Linked DNA regions of Arabidopsis thaliana. The protein of the gene in region 2 interacts with the protein of the main gene of each other region in a pairwise test. Each region holds a gene or a part of one and is shown on either strand. Other genes may lie near its edges.

Region 1 (4,392 bases), on a different chromosome or scaffold from region 2:
TTTACTGGATCAAAATTGTTTAATCTCACTTCGATTTTGTGTGTGTGTGTGTGTGTGTGTGTGTGTGTGTTTCCCCAGCATGAGAAGCAGCTACACACGTTAGCAAACGCACTTCTAGAGTATGAAACGCTAACCGCAGAGGACATAAAGCGTATTCTCCTTCCAAAGCAGGAAGGCGAGAAATTTGAAGAGCAACAACAAGAAGAAGGAGACTTGGTATTGGCCTAATCACATCATTCATTACCATAAACACACTTCTTTGGGTGAAAAAGGGAGATTCAAAGCTTTGTACAGAGTAAATCTCCCATAGCTTCTACAACAACAACCAAAAGAAAAACATATGAAATTATTGATCTCATGTTACAAAATTATTGTAGTTTTTATTTCATTAGCTCATTAGTTTTCGCTTCGACCTTGAACCTTTTGCCCTTTTTGACATTCTGTTCAATTCTATGAAGAAAAATGTAAAACAACATTGAAAAGAAAGTAATAATTGTTGTCTTTATTCTCTGATGTGATTTTGAAAGCCAATGAATCTTATTGCAGCTTACAAGGTCCTCTGATGAAATTACATGTATTGTTTGGAACAAAATTGAAAGAAAACATATAGAAGCAATTCTAATGATACCACCTGTCAATGTGACCGATTCGAATATTTATCCACTACTGTAATTTAGGAAAAAAGAAACAGAAACACTTTGGCATTGTAAAAATAGTATACAAAACTTTTTACAGCTAATGGAGCTAAAGTGTGTTTCCCCAATCACAAGTCAAGACAAAATCTATAAACAACAACAAAGATCTCTTTCCTTAATGGTCCTTTGTGGAGATTTTTCACATCTCACAAACCCTATTGGTTCATCTTTAAAAGTAGAAAAAATAAATATAAGAAAGACGGTGTGTGGCCTTTATGGGTGCAACTAAAAGTGTTAAAAAAGGAAGAAGAGAGTGGAACCCCATGATCACACACACTTTTAACATGTCTTCTCTGCAAATTGTAAAAAGATTCCTGCAAGTTGCTAAAGCTAAACTCCAAAATCATATTTTGGTTCTATAGAGAAGAAACCAAAAACACATTCATTAAATTAGACACATGAAATTAAAAAGAGGGTTTGAAAGTGAAATGACCCCAAAAATAGCAAATGAGAAACTTATTATGTAACTGGATAAATGATGATACTTTTTTTGCCTTGTCCATCCTCAAAGAAACTCACCCACTCTCTCTTTTTCCCTTTGAGAGCTTCATCCATGGCAACCAAAATCTCTCTGATTCAATAGTTTCTTACTCCTTTGATCTTTAGACTCTCGATTCTGTCGTGTCTTGAACCGCAAGACGTTCAGAGATATCAGCTAAAGATTTAAGATTGCATTTGATTAAAGCTTCAACAAAGTAACAAGTCTCATCCTTTGTGTTTCCTTCTGGTACATCAACCACAAATGACTCAATCACAAGTGTTCCTATTCTTCCTTCTATAGTCTCGGGGTGAAGAGAGATGATTGAAGAATAGTTCTAAATCCAAAAACAATATAGAACATATAAGTCTTTGATTCACTGTAAACAGAAAACGAACCTTTTGATTCATTGATTACCTTAAGTCTATGATCACCACCAACGATTCTGATACTGAGAATATGCTCATTGTCATCAAGTAACTCCAATCTCTCAGTGCTTCTAGTTGCTGGTAGTCCAGATTTCACATCAACTTCTCTTACTGTACCAATCTCCATGTTTCCTTTCACCACACATCTACTGATAAACGGCTTATACTTCTGTGGCTGATCAAATCTTCTCACAAGTGACCACACCTATTCACCAGAGAGATTCAAACTAATCCATAAGCGTTTTTGGGAGCTTTTTTTTCCAATAAAGCAAAACCAGATCAAACAAACTCAGATTGGGATTACACAAATGCTATGTAAGCTTTCAATAATTAGAAACCAATCGATTCTTCATCAGTAAGATCAACAATCGATGAAAATAGAGAGAGATTTCAAATTCTGGATTGAATCAACAATAAGAAGAACCGATTAACTTAAACAGAGAAAATCAGAGCGCATGAAGGAAGAAGAAGAAGGGAGAAGCTTACAATATGAACAGGAGCGTTGATATGTTTAACAAGCGTAGAGCTACACTGATTATCCACAAGCTCATGCTTATGATGTCTCCTTATAAACTCTCTTTCCTGATTCGGATTCGTCAAGTTCTCAATCCCGTTAGCTTCCATCTTCTTCCTCCGTCTTAAGCCACGGTTTCTCAATACCTCCGCGTCGGATACGACAAACAAACAAAAAACAAGGCCAAATTCGTCGCGCAGAAGAGAGTGAAAAGCAGCACAACAAAGGAAAAGATAAGATTGAGCTGAGAATCGTAAGAGATCTGATCTCAGAGAGAAGTTTTTTTCCGGCGAGATCTTCCGATGAAAGCGTTACTGTGAAGAAATGATAGATTATACAGTCGCCGTCTTTGGAGGGAGATAAGAAGAAGATGAGAGAAAGAGAAAGAGAGAGAGAGAGAGACGAATCCTCCAACAAACTTTTTTTCTCTCTCCTTTTTATAATATTTAAATAAAAAGACTCAGTGAGAGATTTTTATAAAAAAAAAGAAAAAGATTGATTGGATGGTATTGGACTAAAGGAGTAAAGGTCTTTCTCTGATTTCACTACTCTCATTGGATGCTTTCTTCTATTATCCCACTATTTTCTCTTTATTTTCGATTTTGCCCCTCGTTGTCGTTTTTCTGTGTTTTATTTACCGTTTTTAGTTTTACCCCTCAAGTGTGGTAATTATTTAATGTTGATCCTTAAAGTATTGTTTAAGCCTATGAGAGCTGACTCAATTATTGGATAGTTTTTTTTTTTTTTTTCTTGGGTGCTTTTTCATTTGGATAAAAGACTTGTTTTGACAAAAAAAAAAAAGGATTAAAGATTTTGAAATGGTTATAGATTTTTTGAAATTGTTTATGGCTTAAGTTTTTTCCAAAAATCTACTTTATAGCCAATTAAGATTGGGAGAAATGGTTTTCCTTATAAAAATAAGGAATCTAGATTTTTAAAGGAAATCTAAAATCTATGTTTCATTGGTTTTTCACTTTTTAACGCTATAACTTTTTCATATTTAGTTTCAAATATATATATATATATATATATATATATATATATATATATATATATATATAATTAATGCAAAAATCTAAAAACTATAAACCAAATCCAAAAACCACTTAATAACTTGCAAACTGTTTTCTTTTGTTAATGTGTACTTATATTTTAGGTTTTCTTGTTATTGGGATTATAGTATTAGTGGTGTACTGTAAAATGTTTGTGTATGTGTGTGTATATAGTAGAATGAATTCGATCAGATCAGCATATAGTTCGTGTACTTGACTGTGATCAGACTCAAAGAACAATTCAAATTGTCGAAAATATACTAATTTAAATTGATGAAAATACTACAAAATTTCAGAGAGATTGTTATAATGCAAACCAAACATAGGGCTTAACCAGATTATGCTCGTTAACCTTTAGCTGAAGAAGAGATAGTACACATATTATACGGATGGTCACATTACTAGGTGCATGGAGGTATATTGATGTCCCAATTAGACATATAATCACTAGTTAAAAGTGTGCTTAACACCCCCGAGCCAGACCATGATCAATGCAGATTCGGGGCCTTTGAAGCAAACTACAAAGGACCAAATCTTTTTTTAGGATTAGAACGACAAATCAGGTACTAAGTACAAATTACAAGAACTTCTTTAGGTATATGATAAAAATAGTAAACATCTATTATTCCAAGTATTAAAAATAGCTAAAATTTAATGATTATACATGCACTGCAGTTATTATGGTTATCATCCAAATTTTATTCTAACCATTTAACATCGATTGTTTCGTACGTTTTGTCAGTTCCATACCAATGATTTGTATTATGTTCTCTTTGTTTCGTCTAATCCGGTTTTCTGCATCATCACCAATTCCAGTATTCACTCTCATTCGACTCATAATATGAAGTAAAAGTTCGTAAACTATTAAGTTGGACTTCGCTTTATTTTTTCGCATTCTGACAATAGTATCTTGTTTTGATCATTTACAGTATAATATTAGTATCTTATAACCACTAAGGCCAGAATAGTAAGTATATAGTTTGATCATTTAATTTACACAATCCTTTATCCAAAAAATATATTGTATACAGTATCATATATAGGGTTTGCTTCACAGTCTTAACTTTTCCTGACTCGAAGAGCCAATCTCGAGAGAGCAAAAGGTCCCACGTGCTTTATCCAACACTCTTTATTAAATCCTGAATAAAAGTATCTCAAAGTGACAAAGATTTCTATAACATAAAAAGGTTTGGCTCTTATAAGTCATATCTAGAAAAAGAAAATT
Region 2 (4,201 bases):
ACTTGAACCCGAAGATTTACTATATTGGATCCTAAATTTTTTAATCCAAAAAATCTAAGTCGAATCCGAAAATACCGGTATTTTATTCGAAAATCTAAATTTATTCGAAATCTAAAATTTTATCCAAAAATTCAGGTATTTACTCAAAAATTCGGATATCGGTTCTAAAAGGACCCTGAAAATTTATATCCAAACCGATTAAAAACCGATTGGATACAAACTTAAACCAAACCGATATTTTGGATTTATCCCATTGAATCTTAAACTTTTATATCCAAAAAAATCATATCTAATCGGGTTTTACCCGAACTTAACCCAAATGCCCACCTTTAATTATTCAAAACCAAAAAAGAAGTGTTTGATGCTGAGGTTTGAACTCATCAGATACACGTAACTATTTTCCAATTTATTTTCGTTTATGTGCATTTCAGAATTTCAAGCATAAATATACTCTTATTGTTTAAACATTTCAAATTGCATGTGTGAAATAATATCAGAGTTAGAATATATGTTAATCTTCTCTTCTCCTAGATTCAGTTAGATACGTTTCTATCTTCTTTTAGGCAACATCTCTTGTACAAATAGTCTCTTTGGCAATTCAATACAATCAACCTTTTACGATATATATATTTGTTATTTCTTGTACAAATAGGATCAAAATTGTTATTTCTGAAGCAAATTTTCTTTAGTTTGGATGTCAATTATATCCTCGATTAATATGTAATCACGGAACGGATTCACGATGCGTTATTTTAGAAGCAAATTTATACTTGATAGTACGTTCAGAGGCATCGCTTTTGTACAAATTGAAGCGGGTTTGTTCAATATTTAAAATAACACAGGAAACATTCAAATGTATTATTGATGTTGCTTAGGTTTGTGAAATGATATGAACCATATCGTATATATTACTAGATTTTTCTTATATGTTTTAAGGGTAGTGGGGCTGACCTATCATTCTGTTTGGCATTACCAATCAGACTATCAGAGTATTCACCATTCAGGATTCCATAACTAGAAAAAGAAGGGGTTTACATTTTCTCATACTGTATAATTTTCTACTATCAGAGATTTTATCGATTACATTAATCTCATAGTGATTATTCTGATTTATAAAAAAGTTGACAAAATAATTAAAACCAGTATTTTATAACAAGATTGTCTCTCTCCCATGGCCATTATTTTGACCTCTGACTTATTTAAATCTTAATTAACAGCATAATACTGTATTAAGCGTATTTAAATGAAACAAAATAAAAGAAAAAAAGAACAAAACGAAAGAGTGGACCACATGCGTGTCAAGAAAGGCCGGTCGTTACCGTTAAGGTGTGTCGAACTGTGATTGGGCCACGTTAACGGCGTATCCAAAAGAAAGAAAGGGCACGTGTATAGATCTAGGAAAAAAGAAAGAATGGACGGTTTAGATTGTATCTAGGTACCAGGAAATGGAACGTCACACCAAACGGTACGTGTCGGATCCTGCCCGTTGATGCTGACGGTCAGCAACTTCCCCTTATTCATGCCCCCCTGCCCGTTAATTACGTGTAACCCTTCCATGCGAAAATCAAACCCTTTTTTTTTTTTGCGTTCTTCTTCAACTTTTCTTTTTAAATCAAACCTTTTCTTTTTAAAATCACATTGCATTTCCTAACGCTCAACAAAATCTCTCTCTACTAATATCTCTCTCTCTCTCTCTCTATTGTTGAAGAAGACTCATAATCGGAGATTGTTTGTTTTTGGTTTGCTCTGTAAATTGGAGAAGTTTTGTTAGAGATCAAATGGCTGGGATTTGTTGCGGTGTTGTTGGAGAGACTGAACCGGCGGCACCGGTTGATTCAACTTCTCGAGCTTCTCTTAGACGGAGGTTAGATCTACTTCCGTCGATCAAAATTGTTGCTGACTCCGCCGTTGCTCCTCCGCTTGAAAACTGCCGTAAACGGCAGAAGCGTGAGACAGTAGTGCTCTCGACGTTACCGGGAAATCTAGATCTGGATTCGAATGTGAGGAGTGAGAATAAGAAGGCTAGATCAGCGGTTACGAATTCAAATTCTGTTACGGAAGCAGAGAGTTTCTTTTCCGATGTACCTAAGATCGGTACGACGTCGGTTTGTGGTAGAAGACGAGACATGGAAGACGCTGTCTCGATTCATCCTTCGTTTCTTCAACGGAACTCTGAGAATCATCATTTCTACGGTGTCTTTGACGGCCATGGCTGCTCTCATGTACGTTAATTTCCTCTGTTTAGTAATATTTTTTTCTTTTGTTTGTGATTAGTTACTAATTAGGGTTTTGTTTGGTTGATTTTAGGTTGCGGAGAAGTGCAGAGAACGGTTGCATGATATAGTGAAGAAGGAAGTTGAAGTTATGGCTTCCGACGAGTGGACAGAGACGATGGTTAAGAGTTTTCAAAAAATGGATAAAGAAGTTAGCCAACGAGAGTGTAACTTAGTTGTTAATGGTGCTACTCGGAGTATGAAAAATTCTTGTAGATGTGAATTGCAGTCTCCTCAGTGTGACGCCGTCGGATCCACCGCTGTTGTATCGGTTGTCACGCCGGAGAAGATCATTGTTTCTAATTGCGGTGATTCACGGGCTGTGCTTTGTCGTAACGGTGTAGCCATTCCTCTCTCCGTAGATCACAAGGTAGTTAAAATTATGTCTTATATAGAATTACGAATTGGTTAGTATGAATCAAGATGGCATGGTTCTAAGAGTTTTTGTTTTGTGATGAACAGCCGGATCGACCCGATGAATTGATTCGGATCCAACAAGCTGGTGGGCGAGTTATATATTGGGATGGAGCTAGGGTTCTTGGAGTTCTTGCCATGTCTAGAGCAATTGGTGAGTGAATCTCTCTTGTGATTTGACTTTTTAGGCTATTTTGAATTACACGTTTGAATTTAATCTGATGATTATTGTTTTTGTTTGTATAGGTGATAATTACTTGAAACCGTATGTGATTCCGGATCCGGAGGTAACAGTGACGGATCGAACTGATGAGGATGAGTGTTTGATCTTGGCGAGTGATGGACTATGGGATGTTGTACCAAACGAGACGGCGTGTGGCGTGGCTCGCATGTGCCTTCGAGGTGCTGGTGCGGGTGACGACTCAGATGCGGCGCACAATGCGTGCTCCGATGCGGCGTTGCTCTTAACAAAGTTGGCTCTAGCAAGACAGAGCTCCGATAACGTGAGCGTCGTTGTGGTTGACTTGAGGAAGAGGAGGAATAATCAAGCGTCGTCTTAATAATTAGTGTTATAATTAGTAGTAGTATTAGAATAATTGTTACATAGCCTAATTGTAATTGTATTCTTTTTATTTTTCTATTTTAGTTTTTCTCATTTTAAGGTGTTTTTTCTTTTCTATTTTAGTTAGCTCTTAATTCAGGCTGGGGAAGAAAAAGAGCTGATTAAATAGTTTGAGTATTTTTCTTATTTTTCTATTCAGGTAATATTATACATGTATTCTTTTAGTATGGTCGTTGGAAATGTAATAATCTAATTCAGAGGGGAAAAATGTTAAAATGAAAGAACAGATTATGCGTATTTACCATTTTAAAACTTCGGTTAATGTTATTCGATCCGAACTGGTTTAGTATGAGTCTCGACGATGATTTGAATCCAAACCGGTTACTTACTAATCTTCCCCTATCTTAAGAAGATTTTATTTATTTTATTGGTATGGGGTCGTATGGGAGACTCGCGTGTCGTAGACCGCGGCATTTTAGCACATAATTGTAATTAAAAGATTCAAGGATAATATTAGAAACATAAATCAACAAAAATATATATATATCTTGGTGGAAGAGACTAATCTGGACAATCAATATAAGAACTAGAAAGTACAATGATTTATTAATTCTTTTAATACTAATGAAGATAGTTAAGTTAAGAGACTTGTCTGGCAACATTGTCGAATGCTTAATGTCAGTTAAGGTCGGAATCAATAATCAATTAAACAGATTTTGATTAAATTGACTAGAAAATATCAACTAGGAGGGTAAGAAAAAGGAATATGATCTTCACATTCTTTTATAAATAAATTAATATCAACTTGAACAAAAAATAATACATACTTTTAACCGTCCATTACTAGCCACTTGCCAGTTGCCACAATGACCAGATAATAAAATCTTATTCTATTCAATCATGTTTTTATAAACCCTTCACATTAATGTTTGTTAGGTATTAATCATACGTT
Region 3 (4,254 bases), about 17 Mb from region 2:
AGAAGTGGCGATTTTTTGTCGTGACTCATACGTTTTTTCAAAGAATGTGGTGGCGAGGAGGAAAAGGAAGATGAAGATGACGTAGAAGACCAAGAAAACGATGAGCTTGCCGTCTTCTTGCTACCGTGATTGCTCCTCCTGAGATCACTGAACATGGAGAAGGACAGAAACTTACTTAGTTTTGATCTCACCTTGCTTTGCGTCCTTGGTGTCGACAAAATCCCGGAGGAGTAGTATGAGGGCGGCGGTGTGAGAGGCAGAGGAAGAGAGGAATCGGAGCAGAGGTGGTTTTTGGGTGTTCCTGGCCTTGACTCCCATATGAATGGTATGGAGGCTCCGCCATAGTAGGAGGATCTCTCTTCATCGATTGCAAAGTCATCTTCTAGTCTTTCTGACATCTGTTTTTTATAAACTCTCGGTTTATGTTTGAGTCGGCTTTTGATGAGAATTGATGTACGAAAATTGAAACAACAAGTGCTAGTTTCGAAGCTTCTTTAGAGGTGACAAAGAGTAATATGTATTGCGAGTAAAACAAGTTTGCCGATGAAACAAAAGAATCTTCTTTGCACGGTTGTATATAATCGTGGATATTTATTCTGCTTTTTTATTTTCTTTAGGAAAAATTCATATGGATGAGCATATTACAAGTATATGGAAGATCATACATAGGGGAAAAAATTGGTTAGATAATAAATGAAAGGTGGCTATCTTACTGTATGCATTACTTAATGCGTTTTCATTAATAATAAGAGAGTCGTGAGGTGAGGATCACATTATTGGTAAACAGTTACTGTAGTAAGCATTGCTTAGAGTATTTAATATGTTACCTTTTGTGGGATTCCACTCTATAAACCTTTTTATTTGGTGTTCTTATAATTAAGGAAATAATTATTGACCAACAAATCCACACGTTTTAATATATATCAAGACTACTAACCTTGTTTGTCGTAATTTGAAACTACTGACCAAAAGTTTGGGGCATGTTCATCCAAAAGATATAATGGTTTACATTTAATGAAATGATAATTTAGATAGGATATAATAGGGAACTACTCAGAGTGTCAGACCAAACCATCTGAATACGTACCAATGTCAAGTGCTAACTGGTAACTCCCAACAATAGTAATTAGAAAAGATATATATATTTGTCGGTTCTAATTAGTTGGAAGAAACGTATGCGGAGAAATAAATAGAAACGTGAGAGATCGAAAGACGACGGTGATGAATTTGGACGGTTGAGTGAGGGAGGTCGTATAATTTAATGGTCGTTTCCAATCGTATTCGTACGTGGTCCGTTTTCTCCTACTCGGATTTTGCTTTAATGTGATGGCCACACAAATTGGTTAGAAAACTATAAGGGAAAGCTCCACCTATTTATTTCACTCATACATTTACTATACACTAATATCGCACGGGAAAATTATAACAATTTTCGGATATTCGTATTTGAACAGAAACAAACAACACATACGTAAGAATTTCCTTCACAAAAAAGCCCAATATAGACGAACTTGAACTTCGTACCAACGGCCCAATATCGCTTCCTTAATCAACGGCCCAAAATTTTCATTTATTAATTAATCAGATAACCAATCAATAGAAGCCACGTCGCCACAGCCATTAGTAGTAGCATCATCAAAGCCTGCATTCTTGTTCTTCGAGTCTCTCTCGTGAGTGACTTTCATTACCGAGAAAAACACAATCATAGAGAAGCTCTCAATCTTGTTTGCTTCTGATCAGTAACTATGATTACTGTAAATAGATCACTCTTTCATTATCTTTCCCTTTCACTTGTACAAACCAATTCGTTCTCGAGCTAACGGAAATGGCGGAGAGGCAACAGAGCCCTGCGGCGGAGACGATTCCCGGTACACCCGTAATCCGGGAAGTGAGAACCGGAACCGGGTCCGAGAATTTCAACCCGGAGAATACAAGGAGAGGATGCTTGAGAGCTGAAATCGACATTTCTCCACAGTTATATGGTGGTCGTGGGTTCTGGGTTCCCTTCAATCTTGAAGACAATTACGTGAGTTCTCTTCTAGTTTCCGATTTACAAAGTCTGTTCATTTAAAGTTTGAGCATTAATGTCACTGAAAGTTTGAAATGTATGTTCTCTAACTGTTAAGTATGCTAACAAACTGAATAACTGATAGCTGATTCGATTTGGTTACTGAGTAGATATTTTGTAATAAGTGATAGCTAATTTGATGTTTGCATTTGCGGCAATTGATTCTGGAACTAGCAAGATGTTATGTAAGATTTTTTTTTGGTATTATATAGCATGATTTGTTTTATGTTTTTTTGGTTTGTCATTCTTCAGGACTGTGTGGGAGAATTTGACATAAAGAGAATGGAAGAACAGACAGTGGAGCTTGAGAAGGATCTGATTATGAAAGAGTTAGAGACTCTGGATCTTCTTGAAGCTCTTGGATCAACCAAAAGGATTTTTGAAGATTTGAAGTGGCAGCTTCAGCAGCAAGCACTGAGATGCAAGGAGACCCCTCAACATTTGCGTTCACACTCCAAAGAGATGGTCGATGAGCACTGCCATCGTAATCCCCTGAAGTCTCCGGATCTGATGACCATGGAAATGAAGCAAGCTGGTATGAATCTTTGTAAAACCATGGATGATCTTGCGTTGATCCACTCTTATGCTGAATCTCTGAATATGAAAACGAAGGAAGAGAAAGATGTCCTTGGAGTAGCGTCTCTAGCGGAGGAACTTAACAGTTTGAAGTTTAAACCAGCAGGTCCTGATCAAGTAGAGAGATTCAATACCGAGAATTTACCAGTGAATCCACAATGTGAACAGATTAAGATGGTAGTTGAAACCTATGATACAGCTTTCCATAAACAGAGCAAAACCTGCCCGAGAACTGCAGATATGAGATTGGTTGCTGCAAGAAAAATGGAAGAGGCAGCAAGAGCAGCGGAAGCACTTGCGCTTGCTGAAATGACCATATTATCCAGCAGAAGAAACCAAGACGCTCTCTGCTTCCCTAAGACACCATGTTTTCCATTAACACTTAAAGCACAGATGAACAAAGAATTATCCACCAATGTCTCAAGAATAGAGATCTTGAGGAAGCTGGAGGAAGCTAACGAAGAAGTTAAACAAAGTAAACAAGCCTTGGAAGTTGCGTTAAACCGGGTAGAAATCGCTAGTGTGAAGCAACTTGAAGCAGAAGAGGCATTTCGGCAGTGGAACATAGAGTCATGGAAAGACCAGAAAGCTGTTGGAGCAAAACGCTCGATGAAAAGAGAAAGCTTTCCTCAGCGCTCTTTCTTGAGCCATATCAATCAGCACGAGCCACTGATCGATCTCCCTGAGCCAATGCTGAAACGTAACGTCTCAATGGGTAATGCTCTTAACCGAAAAGATGAGAAACAGTTGGTCACGCCGAGGAGAAAGTTTAGGTTCATACAAACACATCAAGCTTCCATTAGAAAAACAGAGTAAGCTAAAAAAATACCCAACCTTTGAAAACATGTTTTGCACATTTCGATTCCTGTTTTTTTTTATTCTTGGTTTGATCATTGATGGGTGTTGTTGCTTCCATCAAAAGCAAAACACAGATGATTAGAGTGAGATGTGTTGTTTTGACTCAAATGTGACAAAAAGAAAAACATTATAGTAAAAACTAAAGCTTCTAGTAATCATAATTAATTATGGGAGTTAGTGAAGGGCATTGATCATATGATTTAGGTGGTGGGCACTTTCTTAACTAATGCATTTTAAGTGTTAGATTAGCTAATTAGGTGATCCATAATCAATACCGTAGGTCCTCAACTGTTTATTTTTTAATAACGTTGGTCTTTATAATGTTTCTAGATTCTCAAAATAGAAACTGAAACATTCAGGTTGAACTACGGAGATAAAAACACATTTTACGATTTGACCAGTTTGTACTTTATACTGTATAAGTTTGGAGTGGTCAGATACAGAATGATGACGTGGTCAAGGCTTTTAAGACAATCTAGATATCTCCAATAACTTAATGCCACGTGTTTTAGTCTTCACAACAAAGATTTCGTCTGGAATCCTCGTATTGGCTTAGAGCGTGGGACCAAACGAAACCAAAAGAAGGAAAAGGAACTAAATAAATAAATAATTAAAAAATAAAGTTGAAAAGTAAGAGTGGCGTGGGTTAGCAAAATCATTGTCTCAGGCTAAAATGTGCCACTCCCAACACGTGGGCTACTCTTTTCCAAGTGTCAACTATCTGACGGTACGTTTGCACTTTTTTAAATTAG

What was found. The genes of interacting proteins can lie anywhere in the genome.
Region 1: the proteins of PP2CA (region 2) and RCAR3 interact in a two-hybrid assay, tested with the Arabidopsis thaliana proteins (3 studies listed by BioGRID).
Region 3: the proteins of PP2CA (region 2) and AT3G56270 interact in binary tests that used the Arabidopsis thaliana proteins (3 or more experiments, as listed by UniProt).

Annotation. Positions count from the first base shown.
Region 1 is NC_003076.8:21,558,859-21,563,250, reverse strand, and holds RCAR3 (regulatory components of ABA receptor 3), read right to left. Parts: upstream 2,651-4,392; 5' UTR 2,226-2,650; coding exon 2,088-2,225; intron 1,807-2,087; coding exon 1,591-1,806; coding exon of another isoform or gene 1,511-1,590; coding exon 1,298-1,510; 3' UTR 542-1,297; downstream 1-541. Other genes in the region: FTSH11 (FTSH protease 11), read left to right, coding at 79-228. UniProt on the Arabidopsis thaliana protein: Receptor for abscisic acid (ABA) required for ABA-mediated responses such as stomatal closure and germination inhibition.
Region 2 is NC_003074.8:3,583,227-3,587,427, reverse strand, and holds PP2CA (protein phosphatase 2CA), read left to right. Parts: upstream 1-1,577; 5' UTR 1,578-1,778; coding exon 1,779-2,222; intron 2,223-2,307; coding exon 2,308-2,643; intron 2,644-2,735; coding exon 2,736-2,841; intron 2,842-2,933; coding exon 2,934-3,247; 3' UTR 3,248-3,646; downstream 3,647-4,201. UniProt on the Arabidopsis thaliana protein: Major negative regulator of abscisic acid (ABA) responses during seed germination and cold acclimation. Confers insensitivity to ABA.
Region 3 is NC_003074.8:20,868,395-20,872,648, forward strand, and holds AT3G56270 (WEB family protein (DUF827)), read left to right. Parts: upstream 1-1,605; 5' UTR 1,606-1,825; coding exon 1,826-2,026; intron 2,027-2,320; coding exon 2,321-3,460; 3' UTR 3,461-3,713; downstream 3,714-4,254. Other genes in the region: AT3G56260 (uncharacterized protein), read right to left, coding at 1-398.